Coturnix japonica: one gene and its partners. The protein of the gene in region 1 binds, or shares a complex with, the protein of each later gene. Links are inferred from orthologs where the notes say so. Each region holds a gene or a part of one and is shown on either strand. Other genes may lie near its edges. The genes, in order: NALCN, UNC79, FAM155A and UNC80.

Region 1 (7,369 bases):
ACGCATTATGTGGTTAAAGAAAAGATAGACATTTTCCTTCTGTCCATAGACATCTTTCCCTCCTAGTAAATTTTCCCTCTTCCTCCACTAGCTTTTCCCTCCATGACTGCTATTGGGCACAGTTGAAAGTACAAGATATTTCAAGGTTTGTTTTCATGTACCAGAGCATTTGAAGTGAGACAATTACATATATGGCAGCACAGATACACTTCAGTTTAAAAGGGTAAAGATGGAATTCCAAAGGATACAATCATATGACACATTACACTCCGGATGTTATTAACACATAACTGGTTTCAAAGAAAAGTTTGTGTTCATGATGTTTATCTTTGTGTGGTATTATTATTCCATGTGATTAACTGTACCAAAAAATCTCCTCATTATTTTACATGCAGCAGACAGTTGACTGTTAAAAGATTGAAAAAAAATTAAAAAAAAGTGAAGGAAAGTGAAGGAAATATCTGAAAAACCCCTTTCATTTCACATCATTTGGTAAGAAAGAAGTGACAGTTTGAACCCACTAACAGAACTCCAGACCAAAACTCTCTCTCTGGGGTTCAACAATCAAGGAAAGTTTAACATTGGCTTGAGGCTGCCAGTGTTGCACCCGGAGAGCTTAGCTTGGAAAAAAAAAAGGCATCCAGGCTTTAGTACTTTCCTCCTGACATTTTCCTGTGTTGTTTCTGGCTAAGGACAATGTTCATGCCATACTTAGTTCTTAAATTTAAGTTCTTAATTCCAGACATAGCCAAAATGATTTGGACCACTCAGCAGGCAGAATCAAATATCGAACTGCATATAAATGCAGTCCTCACACGACCAAGATGTAAGCCTACCATCACCATTATGCCACGTCATGTGACAAATTCCTTTCACAGGAAACCTTCTGACCATTAGAATACACAATTCTGGAGAACCTACATGTATCCACCTAGACAATGGCCATCATAATTTAATTAAAAATGTTGTGTTTTCACATTTTTCAATTAAGAAACCAATAAAAACAAAACTGAAGATGATATTTCAGATGCTGTGGTTGTAATGATGACCACTGGTGGCACAGAAGTTACATGTGGAGATTATACTGATGGCAGTATATTCCCTCTATGGATCCACAGTGTGATTTAACAACTGGATTATTTCAAATGCTCACTTCAAGTACAGACCGCCCACCTATCACTTGCTGTCCCAAGATTAGTCTACTGCAGTCTAGTCTATACAAAAACCCCTTAAAGGACAAAGTTGATGAAGAAATGCAGCAATGAGCTGTCAAGAGTCATACTAGAAAAAAAGAAAATTAAAGAGCTATGTTCTGGGATTTGCTTTTGTGGTCTGTTCTTCTCTAGATAGAAATCACATTATATGTATGAAAGCAAGGGGACAGGGAGCAAGTTATTCTTTTAGAGGATTCAGGGAGCAACCCATCCTTTTTAAAGCAGCCCACATGTTATAATCTCCTATGAATGCTGCAGGAGATATGTTTTGCAGGATTTTAAAAGAAGGCCTGAGGGCACCCTTCCCAGTATGATGAAGGGGTGGAAAGGAGTTTCTCTGAAGGCAGAAGGCTGGCAGCACGCTGGCTTAAGTGATTATTTTAATGTTGCTGGGATTTTGTTGTACCACTAATTATGCTCTATTGAGCCTACAACTTTGTGTACACATCTTTTCACTATTTAAATTGAAATACATTAAAATATAATAAGTAGTGATTATATTCCTTCAGCACTGTTACAATTCTTACTAAAGTAATTATTTAAAAAATCTGAATGAATTTCCCTTTCCAAATTCTTCCCGTTGTTTTAGGATCTGCCAGAAAAACAGCCACCTCCCATGTATTTTAAGTGTGAAATTCTTAAAATACTATCAAGACTCTTCCCTCTTCTTATATTTTCTTTATGACAAACAAACTGACCTGTGATACTTGATCTCATTGCTGCAATAGAGTTCTTGCATGTTGCAGCCACAAACTTTGGAAACCTATTGCCATCTTCATAAACACAATGACTGAATGTCGTGCTCCAGGAATAAAAGGGCAAAGTTGTAAAGGTTTTATTTTGGGGGAAAAAAAAAATATATATATATATATATATATATATATATATATATATATATATTAAACGGAAAGAAGAAACCACAACATCACAGGCTAAATCAGGTTGGAAGGAATCACGGTGTCTCTAGACTAATCTTCTGCTCAAGTGTGGTCAAATGTGATGTCAGCCCATATTTGTACAGTCCTGAAAACCTCCAAGGATGGAGACTGCTCAGTTTCTTTGGGCATCTTTTTCAACTGCTTCAGGATCCTCACAGAGGGGAAAAAGGGATGCAAGATGAGTATATCACAGATAGATCCGAGAAAATAAAGGAAGGGAAAATAGATAAATCAGTAGAAACAAAACAGTTTGAAACCATAGCCCTTCAACCCATAATGTTCATATTAGTCTGATTTTTTTGCTCTTTACTTCCAAAAAGATTTCAAGCTCAATACCTATGGGAAAACCATGTCATTCTCAAACCGTGGAAATACTGCATTGGTAAAACAGCAAAAATAGGTTGATTTCATGAATACATTGACTCTGTTTAACTCATAAACACATAAAAAAATCTTGTTTTCAACTGCCTGAATTCCTCAATAACATTGAGGGGAACCCCAAATTCCAGAAGCCACTAACAGTTCTAACTCATCATGATAAATATCCAAGAAGGCATTCTCATCCTGAAAATTCATTGACTTCCCACTTCTTCCTGAGTTTGGTCCTATAGCCCAACACCTATATCAAAGCTTAGCATTTCTTTCTTTGGAAGAAGGATTTAAGGCCTGAAAACCTACACGGTTCAAGACATGGGTTGGAATGAATACCACACAGCTCCACATGGTGCTTATGGTGACGTCAGTGTCCAAAAGGAAGGAAGTCAAAACAGTTTGGATGTTAGAAACTGGTATTCTCAGGTGTATCTCAAATGTGAATGAGCTTTGGTAGACCAAGCTTCAGAATGAAATAAAATATATGACAAACAATATGACCATGAGTCTATACTTCAATGCTGTTGATTGCCATGGCTTTAAAATTTCATTTTAAAAATAATGCACCTAGTTGAAGCAATTAAAGTATTCCCTCAGCTGTTCCTAAATGCTCCTAGGGCTACCCTTATGGACTTGCAGCAGCCTTCAAGAAGCCCAGTAGACCAGCTCGAAGATGTTTTTTTAATCCATCCACAGATGTTTTATAATTTTGTGATTTACACAGAAAGAAAAAAAATAGTTCATAGTTAATATGTATTACTTCCTTTTTTGGTTGCTTAGGGGGTTGGAGGGACATGGTGGCTGTAGAAGGAAATAAATAGAGGGAAAATGAAATGGGAAGTTGAGATGTCACATCAAAAAACAAAGACCTAAAGAGCATTTAGTTAGCATTATGTCACTGTGAATATTTTCTTGTTGAGAGACTCAGAATGTAACACTACAACTGAAGAAAGCACAGCTAACTTAAAGGCTGATGAGAAACTAAAGACCATCGGAAATCCCAGCTCTTCCTAGAATGGTGCTTTTGACATCAGGAGTGCTAAAACATAAAGATGCGAACACCAAACCCCAAAGATGCCTTTCTCCACTGGACCAACCCCAAACACCGACCACTGACTGCAGGAAGGAGCACTTCAGCTCAGCCTCTCTCCATCCACCCCGCACCCGGCGGCTGACGAAGCCCAGCAGAGCGGGCCCCATGCCGGGCTCAACGCGAACCACGCACCCGGCCTGCACAGTGCCGGCACCCAGGCCCCGGATACATTCGTTGCCCCGCAGGCCGACAGCGAGCAGCCGCCCTCCCACTCCTCCCTGGCGCTGGCCCCCTCCCACCGCGGGGCTCGGCAGGACGCGGCCCCAGCGATACCCGGAGCCTCTGCCGGGCCTCTCATCGCTCGTTCCGCCGGCGGCCTGGGAAGCGCGGCGGATGGCAGCGGCGCTGGTTGCGCGGGGGACCGGGGATGGAGCGGGGAGGAGCCGGGGGACACCGTACCGAGCCAGCACCGCGCTGAGAGCCGCGCCCGATGCCTCCAACCTACCGCCAGCATCCGCCTTCATGGCGCGCTCGGGAGGGGCCGGCCCCGACCCCCGCGGGTGTGTGAGATGCTTAGCGGTGTTTCGGCGGCGGAGAGGGGGGGAGCGGAGCGGAGCGGAGCCGGGCGGCCGCCCTCGGTCTCTCGGCAACGGCGGCGGGTGGGGCGGCCTGCGGGCCCCGAGGAGCGGCCGAGGAGGTGACCAAACCAACCCAGCGCAACATACGCACAGCCAGGCCAAATAAATAAATAAAATCCACCCCAGGTTCTGTATCCTCCGGGTTTATGAGGCTCGGAGTAAAGTGGTTTGGGAGCCGCAGGGTGAGCTGAGGCCGCCGATGACTTCAAACAGAGCCATCACGCAGCGAGAAAACAGAACGCAGCCCTGGGAGCGCATCCTGGGGTTGGCACATCTGTCACTGCCAGCGCCTCTCCTCGGCCCCCAGCATCAGACTGAGCATGTAGGGTGCTCTTGGGAGTGAATGTGTCGGTTCACTGAGGCCTAAAACAGCTACGAGTGAATGAATGGAGAGCCTGATATCACCTGTTGTAAAGGAATACCTTAAAGAAATACTTGGAAAACCCTGTCACTGAAGTCACCACGTTCCGGCCTGTATTTTTATCTTCTTGTGAGAAAAACAATAATAATAATAGTAAAAGTGAATTTCAATGAATCACGCTTTAAATGATTCCAGTTGGTAGCCTTCTGAGCCTGTAAAATTAGCAAAATCAAAGAGATAATCCTGCAAATGCAGTTGCTGTGATAGACTTAAAGACGTGGAATAGGATTTGAAAAACGAAACCCTTAGCAAAATACTGCAGAAAACAGAAGGGAAACATAGGGCATAAATTGCATTAAGTTCTGTTAGATTGTATCTATGTGACTGTTACAACAAAAAGCTAATAAGACTGTCAGGGAACTGGCCTGAGGTTTGTGGATGCAGTTCTGTCAGCGCTTGTGTTCTGTGTTAACAGCATTAGCAATTCCAGTGAATCTGAGTACCTAATTACAGTGTTTGCAGAACTAGTGCCTCTAATAGTAAATGACCAGCTCATACAGAAAAAAAAGATAAAATGAAGAGGAAAAAAGTAAGCAAATCAGTTTAGAAATAAATGTGTTTACAAGTAGTACTCTTAATATTTTTAATCATTTTCCTCCTCAGTTATATTCTAGTAGTCGGACTAAGTTTTTAGGCAGTGTTATGCTGTTGAGGATAGCATCTCTTGAATGAGAATTGACAGTTGCAGAGCAAAACTTTAAAGTTACATCTAAGCAAAAGAAACCAGCATATGCAAAGCCGGTGTGATTTTGTACAACTGCTTTTCAGTGGATATAGTAGCTAGTGAAAACTGATATGTGATAGAACAATTTGGTTTAGTTGGGATCTCAGGAGGCCATCTGGTCTGGCCAATCTGCTGAACCATCTTGGTTGTCCTGCAAATGAACCTGAGCTCTAGTGTATTCACATTTTCCTTAACTTATTTCACACTTCTGCTCTTACCTCCTATGATATTGGTAATGGTTAGATTTTGCCCTCCCTACCCCTGTGCAGCTTCTGTGAACTGCAGGCTACTAACAGAGTCAGACCAGTACTTCAGTACAGGGCTGGATTCTGTTCCACTGTCTGTCCATGAACATGACCTGCACCAGGTGGTAATACTGCTGGCAAAATGATTTAACCCTTGATGCATTGGTGTGCTTCCTGTGAGCAAGGGTAGTGTCTTTCATTTATAGAATCGTAGAATTGTTTGAGTTGGAAGGGATCCTTAAAGGTCAATTAATCCAACCCCTTCAGCAATGAACAGGGACATGTAGTGGTAGAAAAGGCTGCTCAGAAGCCCCTCCAGCCTGACCTTAAATGTGTCCATGAGTCAAGCATCCATCACAACTCTTAGCAACCTGTTCCAATTTTCAATTCCCCTACTGTAAAAAAACTTTTTCCTTATATCCAGTCTAAATCTCCCTTCATTTACTTTGGAACCATTTCTCCTAGTCCTATCATTAGAGTTGTGAAGAGCTGTGGAGGTAACTGAGATCTATTATTTGCCAGGAAAAGCTATTTCATGATTTGGAATTTCATCACAAATTTACTTTTATAATTGCCACAGGCAAAGCAATCATGAATACTTTAGAACTGAAGTTGTACATACCATGTATATGCATATAAAGTGGAAAACATATATTTATACAATGGCTGATATAATTTTTCAACAAGTATCAGTTGTTTTACGTTTAACGTTATAGTTTGGTTTTATTCTGTACTAGAAAAATCCCATTGAGCAAGCCAAAAACAGACAGACAAGGACTGAATTTGGGTGGTAAGTGGAACTTTATAATGTAAAATAAGACAAAAGGAAAGATGTATTTCCATAACAATTTACATTTCCTATCTCTAAACCTAGAATAGAAAAACAAATTTTAATAACTCCCCAAGCTTCATCGTGTGATTGAAACTGGCCATGAGGAAACTTTCAAATAAAAACAAACTATAAATGATTCCTGATAGTAAGAATTCAAGAGCAGAATTCTCACCCTTTTCTATTACTTTACTTTCTGTAACATGATCTTTGAACGCAGTAAGAACTTCCATCAAAAAAGGTGATTACAAATCATGCTTTTAGTCCTGCTCACTCAGTAGGTCCTGAAGAAAATGGGTGAATGCAAAACTTGGTTGTGTGTGTTTTGCAGCAGAAATTGGATAGATCTCAAGGCTTGTGTTTTTGTTTGTTAGGCTGATTTTATTTTATTTATTTATTTATTTATTTTGGAATGAAATTAACTCAAGCAACTATATAGATAAAAATTAGTTGTGGATTTCTAGACTGTACCAAAGCAGACAAATAATGAACCTCTCATCTTTCCCATTTTCAGTGCGAAAGGTCAACAGTTAAGAAGGGAAAGCGCTTATTCTAGGCACCAAATCTTCTGTATTACAGAACTCAATTGCTACTATCTTCTTTGTTAATGTACATATAAATACATGTTTCCATAGCATTATATGCATTTTGTGTAGCTGAGAATAGAAAGATGCACATTATTAATAATGAAATTATGGACTTATATTCTGAATGTTTTTGAGCTTTATTTATACCTCTCTTGTTCTCACCATCCATATATGTCTATTAAGGAGTTGAAGAAAATGGAAAAAAAAAATTGTAAAACATCCCATAGAGCTGAGCTTAATGGAAATGCTATTGTTGGAATTTGATTAACCACTTAGAAAAGAACTCACTGCTTGATCTGATTTTAGTTATTCTGTAATGGGTAAAAGAATTCATGAAATATTCATTTTGGAATGATGGTTGAGCCTTT
Region 2 (7,286 bases), on another chromosome or scaffold:
TCACCACTATGGCTCCCACACCTCAGGTATTTATAAACCTGGATCAAGTCCCCTCTCAGCCTTCTTTTCTCAAGGCTAAACAGACCCAGTTCCCTAAGTCTCTCCTCATAGGGGAGATGCTCCAGGCCCTTCACCATCTTAGTGGCCCTCCACTGGACTCTTTCCAAGAGATCCCTGTCTTTTTTGTACTGGGGAGCCCAGAACTGGACACAGTATTCCAGATGAGGCCTCACCAGGGCAGAGTAGAGAGAGAGAGAGAGAGAGAGAGAGTATGTAATGTAAAAACTGTGCATATCTAATAGATGATACAGACACCTCTAAGAGAAAATAAATTGAACATTACCATGCATGAGTGCTAAGGGGAAGACAAGAAAGGCAGCAAGTCTGCTCCTGCTTCATATTGCCTTTCTGCTAGCAAATGGGGGAGGGGGGATAATTGAAAAAGAGCAGTTATCTGTGTCTTCAAAAAATCTCAGGATTCATTTATAATAAATGAGACACTGGATAACAGGAGGTTTATGTGAGGTGACATTTCTATAGCCAAAAGGAGAAATACAAGCTAATACAGAGAGCTGGTATTATTTACTTAATGTTACAAATATACGCTATGCAATGAACTACAGATACTAAAAGAGCTGTGCTGTTTCTTTAAGTGTCTTAAGAAATCTGATCAAGCAGATGAGAGCATTTCAAAGAGTAGAAGAAGCTCTACACCTTCTTTGAGATTGGTTGTTTTAGAAATAGCGCTCTTAGTATCTAACCAAGCTCCATGTTCAGTATTGGAAGAAAAATGATCCACTATAGCTACCGAGTTGCGCACTGCCTATGTGAGGCCAGCCTCATGCAGGTATAATCAAGGATGGTCTGGGCACTTTTTGCTCTATTCAGTCTGACCATCTCTACAGAGGAACCCAGTCTGCCAACCCTCAATTGCCCAAACCATAGAATTCTCAGAGTTGGAAGGGACCTTTAAAGGTCCAGCTCCCCAGCAATGAACAGGGACATCCACATGTAGAACAAGTTGTGTAGAGCATGGTCCAGCCTGACCTTGAATGTGGCTGCCATGGCTTTCAAGTTACAGTAGGGGAGATCCAGGCTGGACATTAGGAGGTATTACTTCTCAGAAAGGGTGGTCAGGCACTGGAATGGACTGACCAGGGAGGTGGTGGAGTCATCAACCCTGGGGGCGTTCAAGGAAAGACTGGATGTTGTGTTGAGGGACACGGTTTAGTGGGAGCTATTGGTAATAGGTGAACGGTTGGACTGGATGATCTTTTAGGTCTTTTCCAACCTTGGTGATTCAATGATTCTATGATTCAGATATCTGTAAATGAAATTAATTAATGAAATGCTGAAAATTATGGAACATCTTCCGACAATTACTTCCTTTCAGTAGCGTGTATATATATTTTTTCTATTAATCAGAGCAGTCTTGCAATTATATAAGCTGAAATAACAGAACACTTTATTTAGATTTTCTAAATACTTAACATAGCTCTAGACTCAAGGTTTTGGCCTCACCTCACAGAGCTGCCCAGAACGCTGACCATTTCAGTACAGCATCCCAGAACACTGACACCCTTCTAAAAGAAAGCCCCAGAGCAAAGGTTTATAAGCCCTGAAGATAGTGAAATGTGTGAATTACCTGAGCGTCCAGAGATACAATTCAAAATATGATGTCACTCTGTGGAAATACTTTCTTTGCCCCTCTCATGGGGTCATCATATAAAACAAATTCAAAGTAAAAATGAAAAGGAAATATTTCATGGTATTTTGCTGGGTATCTCTTTATTATCTGCACCAACCTAACTAAACTTTCTAGCTTCCTCATAAGCACTTACTGAATTGAGTGAAACTATTAAGAGCTTTTAAATATGGTTTTGGTTGTTCCACTACCCTGGAAAACATTGTGAGAATCAGGCTTTCCCAGGACATTACTTACCACAACTAAATGCCAGCTAGTGTAACTCAAGGTGAAAAGGAACCAACCCTTTTTTGATACAAAAGCATACCTTGGGCATGCTGTGGTGGTGGGTCAAGTGATGAAACCCACTGTCAGTATCCCCTCGTATGAGATATGAAATGCAAGCGGTCACAAAAATAGAAGCTTCTCAAGATGATTTCCCAGATTGCCACCATTTTACCTGCTTTCCATACAACCTGCCAAAGTGCTGAGGGGGTGGCCATGCATTCATGTTTAGACCAGTGCCTTGTTGCTCTTTCCAACTGGTCACTCCGTTTCCACATTTGTTGGGTTTTTTTTTCCCGTTGTTTCTTGGTAAATTCAGATTTAGTATAACTCCTCCTTGAGACATTCTGGTTCTCACTTGTCTGTCCATGAGGGCAGAAGCAACAGCAGCCACAGTTGGAGTCTGAAGGTTTGCCTGATAATTACGCATGCACATCAATATAATCCTTGTCAGACACCATCACCATTGGTCAAAAATTGCAGGTGAGTGGATCTTTAAGTTATGTAGAGAAAAAGACATTTGGTAATGCCATAATAACTAAACAGGGGAGCAGCCTTTGTAAACAAGATACATCCAGTAAGTCGGAATGCACAGGATATGTCTGCTAACTGAACAGAGTGCTCTGATGAGCCATGAAAAAGTGTCAGGAAGAGGAAATATCTGCAAACTGGAGCCCAAGTAAATCTTTAAAGAAAAATAACATGGACACAGTAGAGCAGTCTCCCAAATTGTACAAGGGATGAAAAGGAAAGACAGACAAGGAAAAAAATATATATATGGAATAGAAGCTCAAGCAGAGAAGACCAAAAGAATTAGGAATGGGGAAACTGAGGAGGCAAAACAGAAAAGAGGGAAAATGCTGAAGACAGTGGCAGGATAAGGAACAGCAGACATTCTTCTACAGGCCAGTGTGAAGGACAGTGTATGAGAAGGAAACTTGGGTGGGAGGAAGGCAGAAAGAACAGAGCAGCATGGATCTGAGCACTGCACACTCAAGGCCTGAGGTATGGTCAGAACATTGCCTTTCTATACACAAGGCCAGAAACACAGCCCCACAGTAATAAATTTGCATCCACATAATATTTTAATAGGGGCATCATCCATTACTGTGAATAAGTGGCAAACCCTAAAGGAAAAGTTACAAGTAATCACTTCCCTAGAGCAGTTCAGCACAGGCTTATCAGAACAAGGACTCTTGCCAGTGACCTGAGAAGCCAACAGGATGCAGAGGACAGCAATGAACCTCTGAGCCATTAGATCGCATCGCGTAGTTATGGCAGTCATCAATCCAGCCTGCTGCTCTAACACCGGCAGAGAAGGTAGCCTTGATGCGGGTGACCATCCCGACAGCGCTGCTGTTTTTCCCTCCGCCTCTCGCAGCGCTCCGGCAGAACAGCAGCTGCCGTCAGCATCCACACACTCGCGGCCCAGCTACAGCCGTCCCAGCCACCATGTCACCTGGCAGCTCCCCGCACACAGCCATCATGGTGGCTGGCACATCACCGGCTGCCACGAGAAGCTGCGGGCAGAGCTGACGGCAGCCGAGGGTCCTGCAGGGCGTGGAGGAACGCGGCAAGGCAGCGATGCCGCCGTACCTTCAGCCCAAAGGTGCGTGCCACCAGCAAAAGCGGCACCGTGCTTCCATCACACAGCGACGGCAGCATCACGGCAGCAAAGCCAGGAGCACCAACCGGGCGGCACGGCGCCGGGATCGATGCCGGAGAGGCCCGATGCCCGCTCCATCCCTTCCACCCCAGCGCCCAGCGAGGACGGACGCGTTGCGTCCCCAGGAAGGCCGCCTCGCCATCAGTACCACCGCAACGGCGGAGGCAGAAAGAGCCAGAAAGGAGGCGGCCCCCCTCCATAGACCACCCCTCCCGCTGCCCGTTGCCGGGATGCCCTACAACGCGGGGTGAGCGCTGCCCCGCCGGGATGCCCCGCAGCGAGAAGACAGCCCCCGGGACCCCGCTCCCATCGGACTGCACCCGGCCGCGCCGCCCGGCCCCGCCACTCACACTGCTCCGCCTTGGTGGACATGCTGCCGGCGGGGCGGCCCCAAGCGCCCACCTCAGCAGCGGGGACGGCGCAACGCCCCGTCTCGGAGCGACACCACGCTGGGGATGGAGCCGCTGCCGCAAGGATGCGGGCCGGGAGCGGCGGCGGCGGGCGGAGACGGGGCGGGAACGGAGAGAGCTCTTAAAGGGAACCTGCCTGGAGCCGCCTCGCTGACCGGCTCCGGGGGGCGGCACCGAGGTCCCGGAGGCCCCAAGAAAGTGGTGGTGCTCCCCAGTGGGGCTCTGGGGGTGTTTGGGGGCTGCCTTGGGGCCACAGGCAGCAGCTGCTCATCATCAGAGTGTCATAGAGCCATTAAGGTCAGAAAGACCACCAAGATCATTTAGCCCAACCATCACATCGATCCATGCTGTGACCACTCTAAACCATGTCCCTCAGTACCACATCTGTACCTTTCTTGAACTCCATCACCTCCCTGGGCAGCCTGTGCTGGTACCTTACCATTCTTTCAGAGAAGAAAGGCTTCTCTGTATCCAGCCTGACCCTCCCCAGGCGCAACCTAATGCCTCTCACCTTATCTCTGTTGCCTGGGAGAAGAGTCTGACCCCCACATGCTAAATAAACGAGCTGCACTGCAGACACATCTGTATTTTCTAACCAAATCCTATTCCACAGTCCCTCCAGATTCACAGTGCATTTTTTCTTCTTATTTCTTATTAGCAATGCCTGTAGGTTCCTGCCATGGGAAAATATGGAATGGCTTGGGTTGGAAGGGACCTTAAAGATCATCCAATTCCAACCCCTGCTGCGGGCAGGGACATCATAACATCATAATTAAAGTAGCACTTACAGAAGTGGAGAAGGAAACAAATACATATTTATCATTTTCCAGGAAAATAAAAATAATAATTAAATAAATGAGGGTATTTGAAATAATAATTACCATTTTTCAGGGTGAGAAATACACACAATTCAGTGGGCACACAAATTCATGGATGTGTGTTCATCCAACTCCAGTTTAAACAGCTGAGGGTGGTAAACAGATCAAGAACCCTGCAGTCCCTGTCTGTATCCAGTAGTTTGGCTTCAGAAGATTGCTTGGCACAGGGGACCCGTGTTTTGCAGGAGTCTGCAGGTACCATAAGGCAGGCGTCTGGATCCTGACAAGTAATACTGTTTCAATATAATCTCCCTAAAGGGCTGAGCTGGATGAGGTGGCGTACAGCAGCCAAAGAGAGCAGTGCCAGGTAGCTGGAGGAGTATAGGTGCATGTTCTGGTTCATCATGCAAGCAGTGCATCCCGGTTCCTGCTGCTCAGATTGGAGGCTGCTATGACTACCTGTGGCTGCTATGGATATATAGTGGAACTGGATGGCAACAGAAGGACGTGAGTTAATTGGGAAAGGATGGCTCTGGTTGCTTGAGTGGTACTTTAAGAAAGCAAAAAGTTCTGTTCTTCTCCCACATGTGCTTTGCTCTTTCCTCCTGCTGAGCTCACTGCAAGATCTGTATATTGTTACCTGGGCAGCAGAGGTGAGGCAGAGATTGCTTACGCTTCACTCTTTCATTAGGCACTGACGTGTGATATCAGATCCTGCTGAAGTCAATGAGAGTTTTTCCATTTATTTATTGTAATGAAGTGCCTGAGGAGGTCACATGGAACTGCAAGCCTCCCTTCCCCAAGTCTTAACCTCGCCAAACAAAACATCAGTGAGGAAAATGGAGGCTTTCAGAATATAGGCTTTCAGGCCTCACAGAAATAGGCTGTTGAAGTCAGACTTCATCTTTATCTTGAATTTCTGTCTGTTGTTGCAACAGATCATGCTAAAGTGTTCTACCACTCATTACAGAACAATAGGGATCTCTTCACTGAGAGGAACTGAGCTCCCATGGGTATCCCTTAAAATATACCGAGTGTTCACATACCAGTGATGAGCCTCCTGAAACATTCAGCTTGATAAAGCAGGAGTACACTGAGAAAATATGAATTCCATTCTTCATATAAAATACTTCTTTGACTTAAATGCCTGAAAATTGGAGGCTTGTCTGCATTTACTGAGCAAGACCCTATACAGTCCAGCATGTATCTCGGGTATATGAGAACAGGTTTATTGCTCATAAGTCCTTGTACATGCCTAAGCCATGCCTAAGCTCCGTAGTGTATTTGGTTTTCCAGGATTGTTTGCCCTTTATTTTTCCAAGGACCAAGGTAAGGGTGTATAGCCCTACGATTTCCTAGATACTTGTGTTTGCCCTTCTTGAATTAGGAGTGACATTTGCTTTCTTCCACTTCCACTTCCACTTCTCAGGGCTCTCCCCCAGTTCCCTTGTACTTTTAAAGACAATCAAAAGCAGTCTCACAATGACAGCGGCCACTCTCAGCACTTGGGCATGCATTCCTTTAGTCCTCATGGTCTTATGTATGTCTGACTTGTTTAAATCTTGTCTGACTTGTTCCCTAATCTGATTCCCTCCATCTTTTGAGTGAGTCCTTTTTTCTAGAATTTCTGGCCTCACGTCCTTGGATTCCCTATCAGAAAAGGCTAAAGTGAAGAAGATACTGAGTATTTAAGCCTTTTTCACATCCTTCATCATCAGATCCCCTACCCCATTTTTCTTAGCCTTCTTTTTACCAAATCCCTCTGACTGTCCTTTATTTTCCCTCCCCAGATTCAGCTCCTGGTAATCTCTACTTTTCCTAACTCCATCCATCTCTTCACACTCAGACATTCCTGCACACTGTTTCTCTATTCCTTACAGGTCCTATTCCTTACCCCTGCTCTCACCTCTTGTACACTTCCTTTTTACATTTGGCTTTTGTCAGAAACACGTCTTTCATCCACACAAGCCTCCACTGACCTACGTTTGACTTCACTTTAGGAGGGACTGTTTTTGAGCTTGAAGGAGGTAATTGCTGAAAATCAGCCATCTGGATGTCTGGATATTAAGGTGACACAGTATATTTGAGAGCTACAAAACACACCTACCTCTTACAGAGGAAATAGGTATAATCCACTAACCTAGGAGGCTTAATCTTCATGTTTCCTTCTACTGTGCCTTTTGTAGGGTAAGGCAGGTAAGATTTGGGATGGATCCCCATCCATTAATTACTGCTTCTGTGGATTTTGCTGGTTTTGTGACTTTGTTTTCCATAACAGCGTGAATTGCAATGGCAATGTAATTCAGGAAAAAAATAGTGTGTAATGTTTAAAATAACGCAAAATAAAATACCATATGAAGTCTTCCAGACATGAACTGTCTCTGAACAAAGATCTAAAGTCTTTTGGTTTTAACCACTGAGAT
Region 3 (7,248 bases), about 2.8 Mb from region 1:
CTGCTGCAACAAACACCATAAGATTCAGCGTGCTGGGTGGAGAGGGAATGGGGCTTTGGGGGAAACATAACAGACGAGACGACAGTTCTGCATGACACATCCTCTGTTACAGAAAACAGACTGGAAGAGTAAGGACGCACACATTCCAGGAATGTTGAATGCCTTCTCATTATAGTCCATTGCGGGGTTTCAAAGAATGACTCTCACTCTATTTTTTCCAGACAAAAGTTGGGAAATGCATGAAAATATTGAGATATTTTTTCATAGACAACAAGTATATCTAAAAATCCTAGCAGATTGGAAGTATATTTTGTTTGATCCTAGTCAAGTGTAAACAAAGAGACACAGTCTTATGCCTGAATTCTTATATTATTAATTCTTATATTAACTTTCAGAATAAGTTTAGATACCAGCATTTTTTTTAATCACCAACTCTAAAAATTCAGCTATGGAGATAAAGAGCATTTCTGATTTCCTTGTGGATGGCAAAATTGCCTGTTACTCTCTCATTTTCCCAACAGGACCATGGGAAAACAATACACATTAAAAAAAATCAAGACTGTTTGCCTGGTGGGCTCTCCAAAACTGACTTCCTTCACCTCATTTGACTGCCAAATTGAAAATAATCATGCCAGTGCCACATGTCTTATAAAACACATTCTGAAAATCTCAGGTATCAAAACCTGTTGCTTACTCCAGGTTTTGTTTTGTTTGTTTGTTTTAGTTCTGTTTCTTTTTCTGTTTCATTCCTCTTTTCCACTGAAAAATGTATAAGCAAAGAAGCAAAATATAATTAAATAAATGTTACTGCAAGTTAGATGACTTACTCTGTTCTGATTAAAATCTCAATCATGGTCATCTCCCAGAATGGAAGGCAATACAAAAATGCAGTTACACTACAGGGCTCAGTATGTCAAATCATCGGAATCAAAGCTCCAAGATCAAAATTATTAATGTACCATTAGCAGATTGTGTGAGCTGATTGACCAAGAATTGCAAACTGCATTCTGATTGAGTACTGTAGACTTTTTCTTACAATACCAGCATTTTTTTTCTGTCTCTTTAAAAAGTGTATCAAAATAAAATCCACAGTTAACTTCTGCTCAGTGTAGAATTTGACTTATAGATCTTTTAAGGCCAAATGAGACCATTATGATAATGTGCCTTGACCCCCAGCATAACACAGGGCATATAGCATCACTCAGCAACTCCTCCCTTGGGTCCGCATCTTCTGTTTGAGGTATACCATTTCCTTCTGAAAGACATCCAACCTCACTTTATTGATCAAAGCAATGGAAATTCCAGCACATTCTGTGGTAAACTCACCCCTCTGTTAATGACAGCTGCAGCTAGAAAAGGTTCAAGTTTTTTCCTCTTCTGATTTGGTCTAGTTTCAGATTTAATCTCACAGAAGTAGAGAGCCATCGGCTATTAGAAATGATATAACATTATAGACGATGGCCAAGTTTGTAAAGGATAAAGCTTTCTTTAACCATATAATGGTGAAAGTTACCTCTGGGGGGTACAGCATGCACCTCATTCAGGGATCATAATCAGTTCCAAATGGTCTTTTCCCTCCAGATGGAGAAACCTCCAGGAATGAGGATGGACACGTCCTCTCCGACTTTCTCCAATCCAATGGTGAAACAAAAAAATACATCTTAGTTGTGCCCTGACCAGAAGCATATGTGATTTCTTGAGAGTAAGACCTTGTAGCATTAGGCTAGTAGAGGTCTTCATCTGATAACATTCAGTCTCTTTTCTTGTCTTGTGTGGGATCCAAATGCATCTGTTGCTGTTATATTTAAGTGTCACAGCAAGCAAGATAAAGGTAATTGCAGGAGCGACCATGCAGTATGTTCATTAAAGCAAGCGATTCTGCTGGTAGGGTCCAGAAGATAGTGGAATCTCTACTGTGGGTATGAGATCATCAGCTATCTGGCTTTTATCACCCAGATAAGACAGTTAACCTTATTCTTTGTCTCTCTCTCCAGGAAGCAACATCCAAAAGGTGAAACACAAAGACTGGTAGCACTTACTCAGCTCAAGCGTGCTGGACTAGGGTTCTGAAAAACTTCTCTTGTGGGAATGGCTTGGGGTTTATGGGCATTTCCCTGCTTACCGACAAGAAGGAAAGAAAGCTATTTCCAAGCATTTTACTGTGGGGCCAAAACCTGATGGGATCCAGCCCCTGGGGTTTCACGTGCCATTTGTGATTTGCTGTGACCAGGACAGACACGACAGCAGCCGTCACCCTGAACGGACATGGTATTTGGGGACACAGGAGAAGGAGACCCTGTAGGAGAGAGGGCTGGAGTGTGGATCTGAGCAGTGCCTTCAGCAAGGGGAAGCAGGGAGGCGAGTGGAAGGAGTTGCACTGAGGAGGCCCTTTGGAGGGGCCATGTGGTCCCCAGTGCCTCTCCCACCTCCTCCTCCTCCTCCTCCTCCTCAGGCAGGAGGAGGCAGACTTGCTGCTGCTGCCAATGCGCCAGGATAGAGAGATCTCGGCGCGGGAGGAGATGACGCAAAAGGCAGAGCTCCCCCCAAAAAAGTGTTTCTCCAGGACGAAGATGGCGGCAACTTAGCCCAAGGGCCCAAGATGCCTGTGGCCATCGGGGCCCCCCAGCCAGGCAGTTCCGCCCCGTGCGCCCGGGGACATCGCTCCCGGCGGCAGCAGCGGAGGCAGCCGCAGCCCATTGTCACCAGCGGCGGCGGCGGCCCCGGCAGCCTCCTCCTCCTCTTCCTCTTCCTCCTCCTCCTCTTCAGCATCCTCGGCAGCGCTCCGGGAGCCCTGCAGCAGCGTCTCTCCAGTTAGAGAGGAGGGGGGAGAGGAGAAAGCGGAGACGGAGACAGCGGTGCAGCATCTGTGCCGCGGCTCGGGGCTGAGGAAGAGGAGCGGCGGCGGCGGCGGCGGGGAGGAAGAGGAGGCGAGAAGCCCTCCCGGAGCCGTCCGTCGGCAGCGGGGGACGCGGCATGCGGCTGTCCGGGGGCAACGGGCTTTTCTCGGGAGGGAGATGGAGAGCTGCTCTCTGACCATGCCTGGGTGAGAGGGGAAAGGACCAGTCGCGCAGCCCCGCCACCACCAACTACCACCACCACCACCACCATCTCCTCTCCCTCTCCTCTCTCTGCGTTACCGCTCTCGCTTTCTCCGCGGCACTCCGCGGTGGATGGACTGGGGCTGCTTCGTGTAGCGAGACCAAGGCTGAGCCACTGGCCAACCCCGACACTATCTCAGAGGAAGAGAAAGAAGAAGAAAGAAGAGGGAGAAAGAGAGAGAGGGGGAGAGTGGAAGAGGGAGCGAGCGAGCGAGAGGAGGAAGACAGGCAAGAAAATCCCCCCAATCTTTTAAGTCAATGCATATTGTGGTGACACCGGCAAAGGAGCCCTCACGGTGGAGTCGGCCAGGGCTGTGCGTTCCCAAAATATGACCAGGGGTGCTTGGATGTGCAGTCGGCAGTATGACGACGGCTTAAAAATCTGGTTCGCATCCCGGGAGAACGAAAAACCCTTCGCGGATTCAGAGAGGGCTCAGAAATGGCGACTGTCCCTGGCATCGCTCTTGTTTTTCACGGTCCTGCTCTCTGATCACTTGTGGTTCTGCGCCGAGGCCAAATTCACGGGCACCGGAGAGAAGGAACAGCCGCCGCCTGACAAGCCGGAGCCCGCGGAGCCGGAGCTGCCTCCGGGCATGGGGGAACCGTCGCCCCCCGCGCCCCGGCTCCTCACCCCCCCCGAGCCCTCCCTCCCGCCCTCCCCCGGCAACGGCGGCGGCGGCGGCGGCGGCAGCGACAGCGAGCCCCGGCACGGCGAGGCTGCCTTCCTGGGGAACTCCACCGCCGCTCCCCCGGAGACGTGCCCCCCGCCGGGCCGCTCGTCCGGGCGCTGCTTCAGCGTGGGGGACGCCGAGGCGGTGTGCCGGAGGCGGGGGGACTCGGGGCGGCAGCGGGGAGCGGGGCAGAGCCCGGCGCCCGGCTGGGAACTGGCGGATTTTTACCTTTCCTTTTGTAATTCCTACACACTTTGGGAGTTGTTCGCCGGGTTGTCCAATCCGGACACTTTGAACTGCAGTCTGGATGTGGTGCTGAGGGGGGGAGGCTCCTGCAGCCAGTGCGTCCAGGCTTACCAGCGCTACGACCAGCACGCTCAGGAGAAATACGAAGAGTTTGAGGTTATGCTCCAGAAGTATTTACAGTCGGATGAGTACTCGGTGAAATCGTGTCCTGAGGATTGTAAGGTAGGAGCCCCTGCTGTGTTTCCTGTCCCTCGGCGGTGGGCTGCCGGGGTGCCTTTCGTCTTCGCGAGTCGCGCCGTCTCTCCGCGCGTTGCGCTGTGCTGTGTGGGCGCTCCGCGTTGGGGATGCTCGGGGTGCACCTGGCGTCGGCGGCCGCTATCCGCGGGTGGGAGCATCCGGGACCGCTGCGCAGAGCCCCCGGGTGAGCGCTCCTGAAAGGGAGGCAGGCAAAGGGGGAATGTTAAAAAAATAAGAGTGTGATTCTGGGTCCTCTGTGAGTGCAGAGCTGGATTTCCCCTTCCTCATGAATATGCGATTGGCTCCGTCTCGGCTGCCGGATAGCAGCAGGCTGGGATGCGGCTTGGCGGCAGGCAGCGACGGGGTCTGCATGCCAATGAGCGGGGCCCAAGACCGCAGTCGGGGCCAGGGTCGGTGAGGGGCGCGGGATGGCTGGGCTCTGCGTTAAACCGAGGGACGGGAGGACCGGCCTCTGCGGCTGGGGGCTGCGGGTCGATTCCTGTCCGCGTTTGGCCCCGCGGTCGGTGGAGCGGGAACGGGACCCTGCCTCCAGGTGCTTGTCCGCGTCTATGGAGAGGGAAGTGCTTGAGAAGGAGATGGATGTGCGCGGGGAATGTTGTGATCCTTGGCTGGGAAGTGGTGGTGATACTTGTCTGGTGATTGAATCTCTTCAGGACTCGGTTGTTGGTTATGGGGCCATAAGTGAGTTTTCAGATGTCTGAAGAGGCTTTTGGTTTGCTCCGCTGGAAGGCAGGGTCCCACTTTGTTTCTTTGGAGTTGTTGTCTTCTCTGTACGTTTGCACAAAATGAGTTGGCCTAATTCTCAAGAGAGGAGGAGATGAGAAAAAAAAAGTGTTATCTTTTGCACCTTAAATAATTATCCACATAGTATTTTCCCTGTTCATACACATATTGAGTGCCAGGCCAGGTGAATGGTTTCTACCCTGTACTGGATTAACTCAGCTACTGAAGCACTACATTAACCAGTCTGAACCAATCCTGCGTTAGCAGTGGAGCACAACAGTGTGTACAAATCCCTGTGCTGAGCAGAAGGCCTAGCAATAGTACAGTGCTCTATAACTTCAGCAGGGCCTTCTGAAATCACTTAATGATGACAGCATATTTCCAAAGCATCCTATTCCCTGTTCAGTTAGTGTACTTTACACATGTATTTGTCTGAAAATCAATCCAAAAAAAAAAAAAAAAAAAAAAAAATCCCCCCAAAAGCTGAAATATTCTGTTGTCTCATTGGGTAAAGCGAGAAAGTTACCTTCTCCACCCTATTAAAACTGACAAAAGTGAAGCATTCATTAGTAATTTTGACTCCATTGTTTCTGGAGTCATGTATGCTTTGTGCACTCAGTTACAGGTGGTGTAAATATATTTCTGAAGTGAATCACTTAAGTAAAAAAGCATAAACTGGATAAATAAAAAAGCGTGTCAAATATAAATAGATGTCTACTGCTGTGAGGACATCTTTGCCATTTCAGTAACTCCTTAACCTAGAAATTGACCTACTGCTCTTGGCTGCCAAGTAATCTTCAGGTTCGAAGTGATTCTCTTCTGTATTGCTATTTGATCAGGCTGAACTTTACCACAAACTGTGCTTTTGATCTACAATATATCATGATATAAAAGGCGCTTAAAATGCACACAGTAACAAATATACACTATATTACTAATTCAATTTTGGGGACTGAATGAGCATAAATGCTTTTCTAAGGATGGGCAAGAAGCTGTTGAAATAAGGTGCTTTCATGAGATAAGCAGGCAAACTAAACAAACATAACAATGACAGATATTAGTTCTGAATGCTGGACTAGTCAATTGATGGAACTGTGTCCTGAGAATCTGGCCAACCAATCTGTTTTAAGAAACATGGGATACTTCGGACGGGAAAAATAATGTTACAAATAATAGCAATGAGAAAAGGGTGAAACTTCGTGTTTTGTAGACTTGAGAGACCCGGGCCGGGCGCGGGGAGGCCGCTGTCCTTGGTGCTGTAGGGTCGAGCCGGACTGCGGGGAGCCGCTCTGTGCCACGTGCGCCCGGAGTTGGTGCTGCTGGTCCTTTTTGGTTCACTCTGGTCGCTGATGAAGTTGAGTGTTTAGCGGGCCCAGTGCTCTGCTAGCCACGTGCTTTGATGTGATTGTACGTGATCTGCACTGAAGTGTGTGCGGGTGAAGCTGGAAACTTGTGGTGATTGGCAAAACAAAATGGGCATTGCGATGTTTCACTGTACTTACTGGTGTTCTGTACATATTGCACCTAATACAATCAGGACATAGTTCCTCCTTCTTTATTTATCTATTTATTTATTTCTCCTTCTTTTCTTTCTCTGTACCTAAATATTAATTTTTAGAGCACTGGAGACCTAGATACATTCTAGCATAAGAAGCAGTATTCATGCGTAGTAAATAGCTTGACATCTAACTATGCACTTGAGGTACACGTCATTGGCTTATGTGGTGAGCTGCTTTTTATCTTCCATTAAACAAAGATCTAAAACTACTGACTTTTTTCTGTTATCGTATATGTAAGCACTGGCTTAGTAAAATAAAATGCTTGTTAAATAATGTATTTGTATTTAAGAGATCATTAGTATTGTAGGAGAGCTGCTCCATTCACAGAAGAGAGCTTTTCATCCAGGTGTCTAGTTATACCTGATGACAAAATCAATAAAATTTATACTGGATACCAGTCACCTGAAACTTTTAATCGAGTATTACTTCCCCCTTCCCCATCTCCCCTCACCTTCAGCAACGTCAATTCTCAAAGTAAATAGTCCAGCAAGTTATGTCATTCAATTATGTAATTTTGGTTATAGAAAACTGTTCATATAAAAATAATGTTGATGTAACTTTTTAAAACTTCAGCTCCATATTATCATTCCTTTATCCAAAACCGAAAGAAAAAACTTAAAATACTATGTTCCGCTACATGTCTCCTAGTCCCTGAAGAGGATTTTAAACAAACTGTTTTGTAATACAGAAAGT
Region 4 (6,072 bases), on another chromosome or scaffold:
TAGCCAGGCTGAAAATCCCAGTCTCCAGCAGGAAGACAAGAAATCCAGCCTTTCTGTTGCTCACCTCTCTATTGTGTGTCCTTACTGCACAGATTACTCCATGGGAATCATTTTTTTCTTCATGTATAACCTCTGTACCCTCATGTGGTCCACGTGTTCTCTTTATCTAATGACCTTTTCTAAGTAGTTTCATGATGCATGTGAAGTGAGTTTGTCTCATCACGATAAACAGTACTGAATAGAACTGTAGTCTTCCTGCTACAGACAGGTATGTCTCCTCACTCATGTAACTTAAGAGCTGCTGCTCCTTCATCAGACATTTTATCAGTGTTCTCAGAATCTAGTTCAATTGAACAGTTTTCTTTCGAGGCCTTCTCTAGCCAATTCTTATTTAAACCCCACACTGGCAATTACACAGGCTTTTGCATGACGTTTAGGATGCTTTGTATGTAAATCATGTCAATTCCGTATGTAAAAGCTGGAAAATATGTTCCGGAGGCTGGTGATCTCATTTGGAGGAGCTGTCTGAGGGAGAAAAGGATTCAAATTTATCTTTGTTTGTTCTGGCTTTGAGCTTGCAGAATCTTTTCCTTCTTTCCAAACCACCACAGCTGCGCTGAGATTGCCACAGGCATGGCTAGGACTGAGATGATGTGGTCAGACAATGTAAAGAGAAACAGCGTCAGGGGCTGAAGGTAGTAGTGTCTTTCTCCTGAAGTTGCCAGCTGTCTCACCACAAAGCTTCTGGAAACGCATACAGTTTAGTGCAAAGTCTGGCTTGGGTTTAAACTGATAAGGGAGCAAGGAAGAGGACTTTTAGCTCAGTTAACCAGACTTTGACCTGACGCGGCCAGGAAGCTCACATGTTCTGTTCTACCAAACTTAGGAAGAGCAGTAACTTCTGCCAAAGGGAAGAGGGAGCTGTTTAGGAGACAGAACTTCTTAAGCCTCTCTGCAGACATCCTCCATGTCTCGTCTGACCACATCAGACCTTAGGTTTGCCTTCTTCCTCTGCTCACGTTAGGTCAGATAGTAAAATTTCACTCTGTTGGTGGTACTGAGCTCCTCCAGGGAGATCCAAGGAAAACATCTAGAGAAAAGGTTGTTTTTCTTTAGGTTAAGGCAGGCCAAAAGCGAAGTGGATTGTAATACCTAATCTACTACAGTGCACACCAGCTATAGCTGGAGGTTGCTTAAATAGGACTTGTGGCTCAGTGGATTCCAGTCTCTCCCAAATAAGTAGCTGCCAGATTTAAAGGAAGTCCATCTAAATGTTAGTTGCTATTGTAACCATAAGTCTTTCAGACACAGTGCATTCAGCTATTACATTTTGTGACCGCTGCCTGCTCAATGACCAACTTTTAACTGTTGGGAGGAATACAGTACTTGATAAAAATGAGGGGAGGGTGCTGCTTCTGTAGGAAGTAGATGTAATGATCAGTTGAATGGTAGAATGGGATGGTACGTAGCCAAGTCTGTTCTATTGCTAAAGATTGTTTTGTGCCAAGATATTAAAACTTAATATGTGCGCTTTCATGTATATATGAATTTTATGTTCACTTGTATTTTTCATCTGTTAGCTGCAGAGATTCAAGGCTGCGAGTGTTGAGTGTGGGGCCTTGTTCACATAACTCATGCATCCATTATGTGAATAGATCTTTTGTCACTTTGTGTTTGTTTTTTGTTTGTTGAATTGAAATTAAAACCAGATGACAAAATTGTGATGAGGCTGTGGAGTGCATTCGGGAGGAAAAAAAAGTAAAATAGCTCTTACAACATTGTCCATGAAGTAAATGAAAAGCAAACAAGAAGGTTTTAGAGCTAGGAAGCTGATATTCTTGCCTTTTGTTGAAGAAGCCCGTGTGGCAAAAGGTGAAGAGAAGTGAGTGTTGCTCAGTGGGATGCATCAATCAATGACTGAAAACTGAAATTTGTAGTTATTTATAGTTGGATGCTACCTGTGTGTGGCCAAGTCCTGAATGCCATGACTCCACCTCCCACCCTCTCCTAAGCCTTGGAAGCCACAACCCAACAGACACGTTCCCACCATCCTTCAAAGACAGTATGTGCTCTTTGAAGTGACTGTGCCATTAGTGGTTGATCTATCTATTTATTTTAGTCACAACTGCCAGGACTCCTGCTAGTTATACAGGTTGCTTCTGTGCCTGACCTAACGCTGTCGACATCCAACAGGGTGGCAAGCGTACAGAGTGAGCCAGGGCAGCAGAACCTCCTTCTGCAGCAGCCCCTGGGGCGGAAGAGAGGCCTACGGCAGGTGAGTGAACAGGCCTTGGTTGTTCCCAGTCTGTGTCTGTTCTGAAATGATTTCTGAAACGTGGCTCTTTCTTCCCATTTCTAGCTTCGACGACCGCTGCTGTCCCGTCAGAAAACTCAGACTGAACCTCGTAGCCGCCATGGAGCTCGACTTTCAACCACTCGGCGGAGCATCCAACCCAAACCAAAACCAAGCGGTAGGGCAGTACTGCATGTACAGAACCAGCACTTTGTACCCTAAAGCAGACAGTACTTGGTTGTTGCTCTACATCAGAGGAAAAGTTAGTATATTTGAAGGGTGTGTAAGCTGTTTTCAGCTGCTTTGTGGAAATAAGCGGTGCCCTCGTTAACTAGTTTGTGTTGAGTTTCAGTTGGTAAGGGCTGGAAAATGTGATTACGGTGAAGCATCACCATGTATGTTCTTTTCTCTAGCAAGTGGATATCCTGTCAGCAATGGTTGAATGGTTTCTCCAAAGGCCAGCAAGGTGAAGCTGGACACAGACAGCCAATGATGTTTCTTAAAGCTGTGGAGAAGTTAGGGTACAGGTGTCCTCCATTCCTTGTCCAAAACTTCCAGATGTGCCTGTTTTGAAGGTGCTAGTGAGTGGAAGAAGGAAAGAAATTTCCCACTCTGTAGCTTTGCAGTTGAGAGTTTTAAGGGCTGTATATGAAAATGAATCTGAGTCAGCACTGTCAAGCAGAGCAGGTAGTTGCATTCTGCACATCTGAAGTGAGCAATTAACTTTGGAGGAAACATCTGGAAGAGCAAAGTTTTCTTGAGAACTTCCTGGGTTTCTAATTGCTCAGCCAGGACTGCTGGGCTAACAGAGCTGCTGGAGATGTTTGGAATGTAAAACTTCTACAGGAATAATGAAGGGTGAGAGCAAGGCTGTTAGTTTCACGGTTAAGTTTTAGTCCAGGCAGTGGACTCGGTTAGTAAAAGGAATAAGAGGCAGTCAGCTCCCCTCTTTCTTTTCTCAAGTTTCCTTCAAAGCCTCAGGAAACTCCCTTCAATATTTACATCTTAGTTTTCCCTTACATGAGAATCCAATACATGAAATTCAGGGATGGAAATATGTTTTGGGTGGCATTATCTCCTTGATCCATGACAAAGACAGGTAGGCTCAGTAGTCTTCAGAAGAACCAAGACTCTTGCTCTGGCTTCAGAGGAAGACTATGAATAGAAGGCTTTTAGATTGGTTGCTATTTAGACACCTTATAAAGATGGAATGAATCAGGAGCCCTGTCTTGCTTGTAAAACCACTAGGGATGCTGTCTGCTTTCATTCTGTTTTCCTTCCTCAATTCAAGTATTTTAATAATTCATTTTTCTGTGCTTTGCACCTCTCAGCGGATCAGAAGCGTTCGGTGACTTTCACTGAAGCCCAGCCTGAGGCCGCACCGCCATCCCCAGCCAAGTCCCCAGCTTCAGCTGCCCAGCTGCAGGGCTGCAGCCGCAGCAGCCCCCAGGAGAGCAGCAAGCAGGAAGCTCCAAGTAAAACTGTGCTGACATCCTCACCTGCTGTCGTCGTAGCTGATCTCCATAGCCAGACCACTGGCCAGGTAGCATGTCCAACAGTTTTATTGTGTGTGTTTGCCTGCTGCTTCATCTCAGCCTCAGCAACTTAAGTTGCAGGGCAAGTAGATACAGCTGTACTACAGCAGCATGATGAAAACCTGCTGATGGGTCAAGACTGTGGTTTGTAGGCTGAATTGTATCAAGCCCTCACTTCTCTACCTTTGCAATGATTCTTAGTTTGCAGATCCCTGTATCTTCTCTTTTAATCTTCCCATCAGACCCACAAGTCCTTGTGGACCTGCTTGAGGTTTTGTCAACTGGTCTTTGCTCCTCATTCTATGAGCAGTGAGTCCTTCAGGAAGGATTCCTGCAGAAACTGAGGGGAGTAACGTTAACAGCACCATGTTTCAAAAGGAGCTGCTTAGCTGCTTGTCCAGCATCTTTCTGTGTTGGACATCGCTGAGCACAGTGCAGAGATAGTGGTGATCACTGCTTCTACGCACTGAGACTGCACAGTGACACTGAGATCTTTTACACACCCAGACACCTCACGTCTTTTGGCTGTATGGCCTTTGCCATGAACAAGTATAAGAAGCTCTTGTTGAAAATACACTGAACAGTGAAATGGCAAAGAGTTAAAAACTGAAAGCAAACAGCTTTTCTGGTTATTGCTACGGATTTGACTCACCAGCAAAAACTGCAAGGGTAGAACTTTAGGGACTTAAAATCTGTGATTGCCTGGCCCCTTAATGGCAAAATGGTAGTTCAGAATAAGTAAATATTTCACAAGTGTTCCCTTGCTGTTTTTTCCTGCCCCCTCCCTGTTCCTCTGAGCCTAACCACTGCCTCTCCTCTCCTGCAGAGCGAGGTGCTTTCTGCTGAGAAGGAGAAAGAGGAGAATGTGGAGTCCCGGCCAGCCACAGCACAAGGCACGCCGCCCGCACAGCTCTCCGACACCGAGGACTACGCTGGCCTCGAGACCACCAGCTTGCTGCAGCACGGAGACACGGTGCTTCACATCAGTGAGGACAATGGGATGGAAAACCCCTTGCTGGCCACTCACTTCAGCTTCACACACGTGGAGCTCGGGGAGACGGACGTCGACCTGGATGAATCTCATGTTTAACTCTTGGGGAGGTACGGTAGTGGGAGGAGGAAGAGAAAGCTGTACCTTCTCCTTTGAGTTCCCCGGTAACTAGTAACTAATTAAGAGCACTTTATTATCCAAAAGCAGAATAGAGCTAACAGCCTGTTGCTATAGACTGGTATGAGGAATCTATTCGTATCCAGGGCGAGACTTGTAGGAGCAGAGAATTTGTACAACATTCTCAGGGTACGGGTGTGTGGGCAAGTGTGCGTGGTCCACAAAGGCCTGATGTGGCAGCCGTGTGCTGTGATAGGCAGCCTCTCTGGGTAAGGTACTGAGCAAGGAAAGAGAGACCTCTTGGGAGGTGTGTTTTTGTAGCCGTGTTGACTAGAAGGCTGGTTATGCAGCGGCTGGATGCCAGGCTTTGACATCTTGGTACCAACAGTGAAAGCACTGACAAAGAGTACTAATCTAAAGCTCGACTTTTACAAGCCTGGAACCATTGTTTCTTACTTGCAGAGCAATGATGAGCACTGTGGAGCAGTTAGACGCTTGTGTTTCCTTTTTCATGTTTTTGGCACTGCAGACTTGAGTTGACTTTGCTTGTATCTGTTGGTGTCGTTCTGCTCTGTAAGATGCTGCCCTCGTGCTACAAAAATATTTGCTCTGTTAAACTAAATGCGGCTCATACCACAGAAAGGAATGCACGTGCTGTGCACAGAGAGATGGACAGGGCGTGAGTGGTCTGCAGATGATAAGACATAGTCCATGCTTTGCTGCTTTCGTGTACTGGGTGATGCACGGCTTAGAACTAAAAAACCACCTGGGAAACCGCATCTGGAATGCGTGGACCTTCTGGTACCTTGCAGCTGCTCTACTGATGCTGTCTTATGTACTTAACTATAGGGATTTAGAGTAAATATTTATATATGGTATTTTCGTGTTCCTTATAGATGCAAACATACAAATATATATGTACTTTGCAGAGAGAGGATGGATATTGCAGTGCAGAAACTTGATGAAAGAATCTATTTTTGGCATGCTGAGATTCTATTTAGAGGTTCCATTACGTGTGTGTAATGTTGACGGCTGCAAGTGTGAGATGTGTATGTGCTACATTTATATGACTGAGGTGATCCCCGATGGGGAATCAGCTGAAGTCCCAGCTCAGTGAAGGGCTGCACTGCAGCACT

What was found.
Region 2: the proteins of NALCN (region 1) and UNC79 are in contact, whole or in part, in a cryo-EM structure (PDB 7SX3), measured with the Homo sapiens proteins. The link is inferred for Coturnix japonica from reciprocal best matches to the Homo sapiens genes NALCN and UNC79. Residues at the interface, in NP_001337678.1 of Homo sapiens: Gln349, Met350, Phe351, His352, Glu353, Gly358, Trp359, Gln360, Leu361, Phe712, Ser713, Ile714, Arg717; in NP_001333147.1 of Homo sapiens: Cys861, Gln862, Ile865, Glu968, Pro969, Asp970, Phe1020, Gln1022, Pro2088, Asp2089, Ala2092, Pro2093, Leu2095, Leu2096, Met2099, Leu2139, Pro2141, Asn2142, Gly2143, Ile2144, Gln2147, Leu2148, Ser2151.
Region 3: the proteins of NALCN (region 1) and FAM155A are in contact, whole or in part, in a cryo-EM structure (PDB 7CM3), measured with the Homo sapiens proteins. The link is inferred for Coturnix japonica from reciprocal best matches to the Homo sapiens genes NALCN and NALF1. Residues at the interface, in NP_001337678.1 of Homo sapiens: Cys207, Val209, Asn220, Leu222, Ala223, Ile224, Pro225, Thr227, Tyr237, Pro240, Phe243, Tyr406, Glu409, Phe909, Ala1044, Lys1045, Asn1047, Pro1049, Arg1054, Ile1060, Arg1062, Ile1063, Asn1064, Val1065, Ser1066, Lys1069, Lys1080, Lys1081, Gly1083, Phe1084; in NP_001073865.1 of Homo sapiens: Lys278, Glu281, Phe282, Val285, His287, Lys288, Tyr289, Leu290, Gln291, Glu294, Tyr295, Ser296, Val297, Lys298, Ser299, Tyr308, Trp311, Leu312, Gln315, Leu335, Gln338, Thr339, Cys341, Phe343, Ile344, Leu345, Pro346, Asp347, Asn348, Asp349.
Region 4: the proteins of NALCN (region 1) and UNC80 are in contact, whole or in part, in a cryo-EM structure (PDB 7SX3), measured with the Homo sapiens proteins. The link is inferred for Coturnix japonica from reciprocal best matches to the Homo sapiens genes NALCN and UNC80. Residues at the interface, in NP_001337678.1 of Homo sapiens: Asn639, Met643, Val644, Ile646, Lys648, Leu649, Pro650, Phe653, Val655, Pro656, Lys657, Ile658, Arg659, Glu660, Phe662, Met663, Lys664, Gln665, Phe666, Ile667, Arg669, Val711, Ser713, Arg715, Ala716, Arg717, Leu719, Lys722, Glu723, Ala725; in NP_115893.1 of Homo sapiens: Lys1979, Asn2004, Glu2005, Cys2006, Asp2007, Leu2128, Arg2129, Leu2130, Pro2131, Pro2134, Arg2135, Ile2138, Asp2139, Phe2142, Phe2145, Ser2146, Glu2179, Asp2184, Glu2185, Met2187, Leu2188, Asn2191, Asn2194, Ile2198, Leu2199, Glu2202, Ser2226, Leu2227, Ser2228, Gln2231.

What each region holds. Positions count from the first base shown.
Region 1 is NC_029516.1:129,118,506-129,125,874, reverse strand, and holds the start of NALCN (sodium leak channel non-selective protein), read right to left. Parts: upstream 4,533-7,369; 5' UTR 4,063-4,532; intron 4,036-4,062; exon of another isoform or gene 4,017-4,035; intron 1-4,016. UniProt on the Homo sapiens protein: Voltage-gated ion channel responsible for the resting Na(+) permeability that controls neuronal excitability. NALCN channel functions as a multi-protein complex, which consists at least of NALCN, NALF1, UNC79 and UNC80.
Region 2 is NC_029520.1:40,928,492-40,935,777, reverse strand, and holds the start of UNC79 (protein unc-79 homolog), read right to left. Parts: upstream 4,131-7,286; 5' UTR 4,008-4,130; coding exon 3,986-4,007; intron 3,763-3,985; exon of another isoform or gene 3,566-3,762; intron 1-3,565. UniProt on the Homo sapiens protein: Auxiliary subunit of the NALCN sodium channel complex, a voltage-gated ion channel responsible for the resting Na(+) permeability that controls neuronal excitability.
Region 3 is NC_029516.1:126,346,658-126,353,905, forward strand, and holds the start of FAM155A (transmembrane protein FAM155A), read left to right. Parts: upstream 1-3,290; 5' UTR 3,291-3,427; coding exon 3,428-4,237; intron 4,238-7,248. UniProt on the Homo sapiens protein: Auxillary component of the NALCN sodium channel complex, a channel that regulates the resting membrane potential and controls neuronal excitability.
Region 4 is NC_029522.1:6,625,477-6,631,548, forward strand, and holds part of UNC80 (protein unc-80 homolog), read left to right. Parts: intron 1-2,193; coding exon 2,194-2,275; intron 2,276-2,359; coding exon 2,360-2,471; intron 2,472-3,624; coding exon 3,625-3,836; intron 3,837-4,654; coding exon 4,655-4,918; 3' UTR 4,919-6,072. UniProt on the Homo sapiens protein: Auxiliary subunit of the NALCN sodium channel complex, a voltage-gated ion channel responsible for the resting Na(+) permeability that controls neuronal excitability.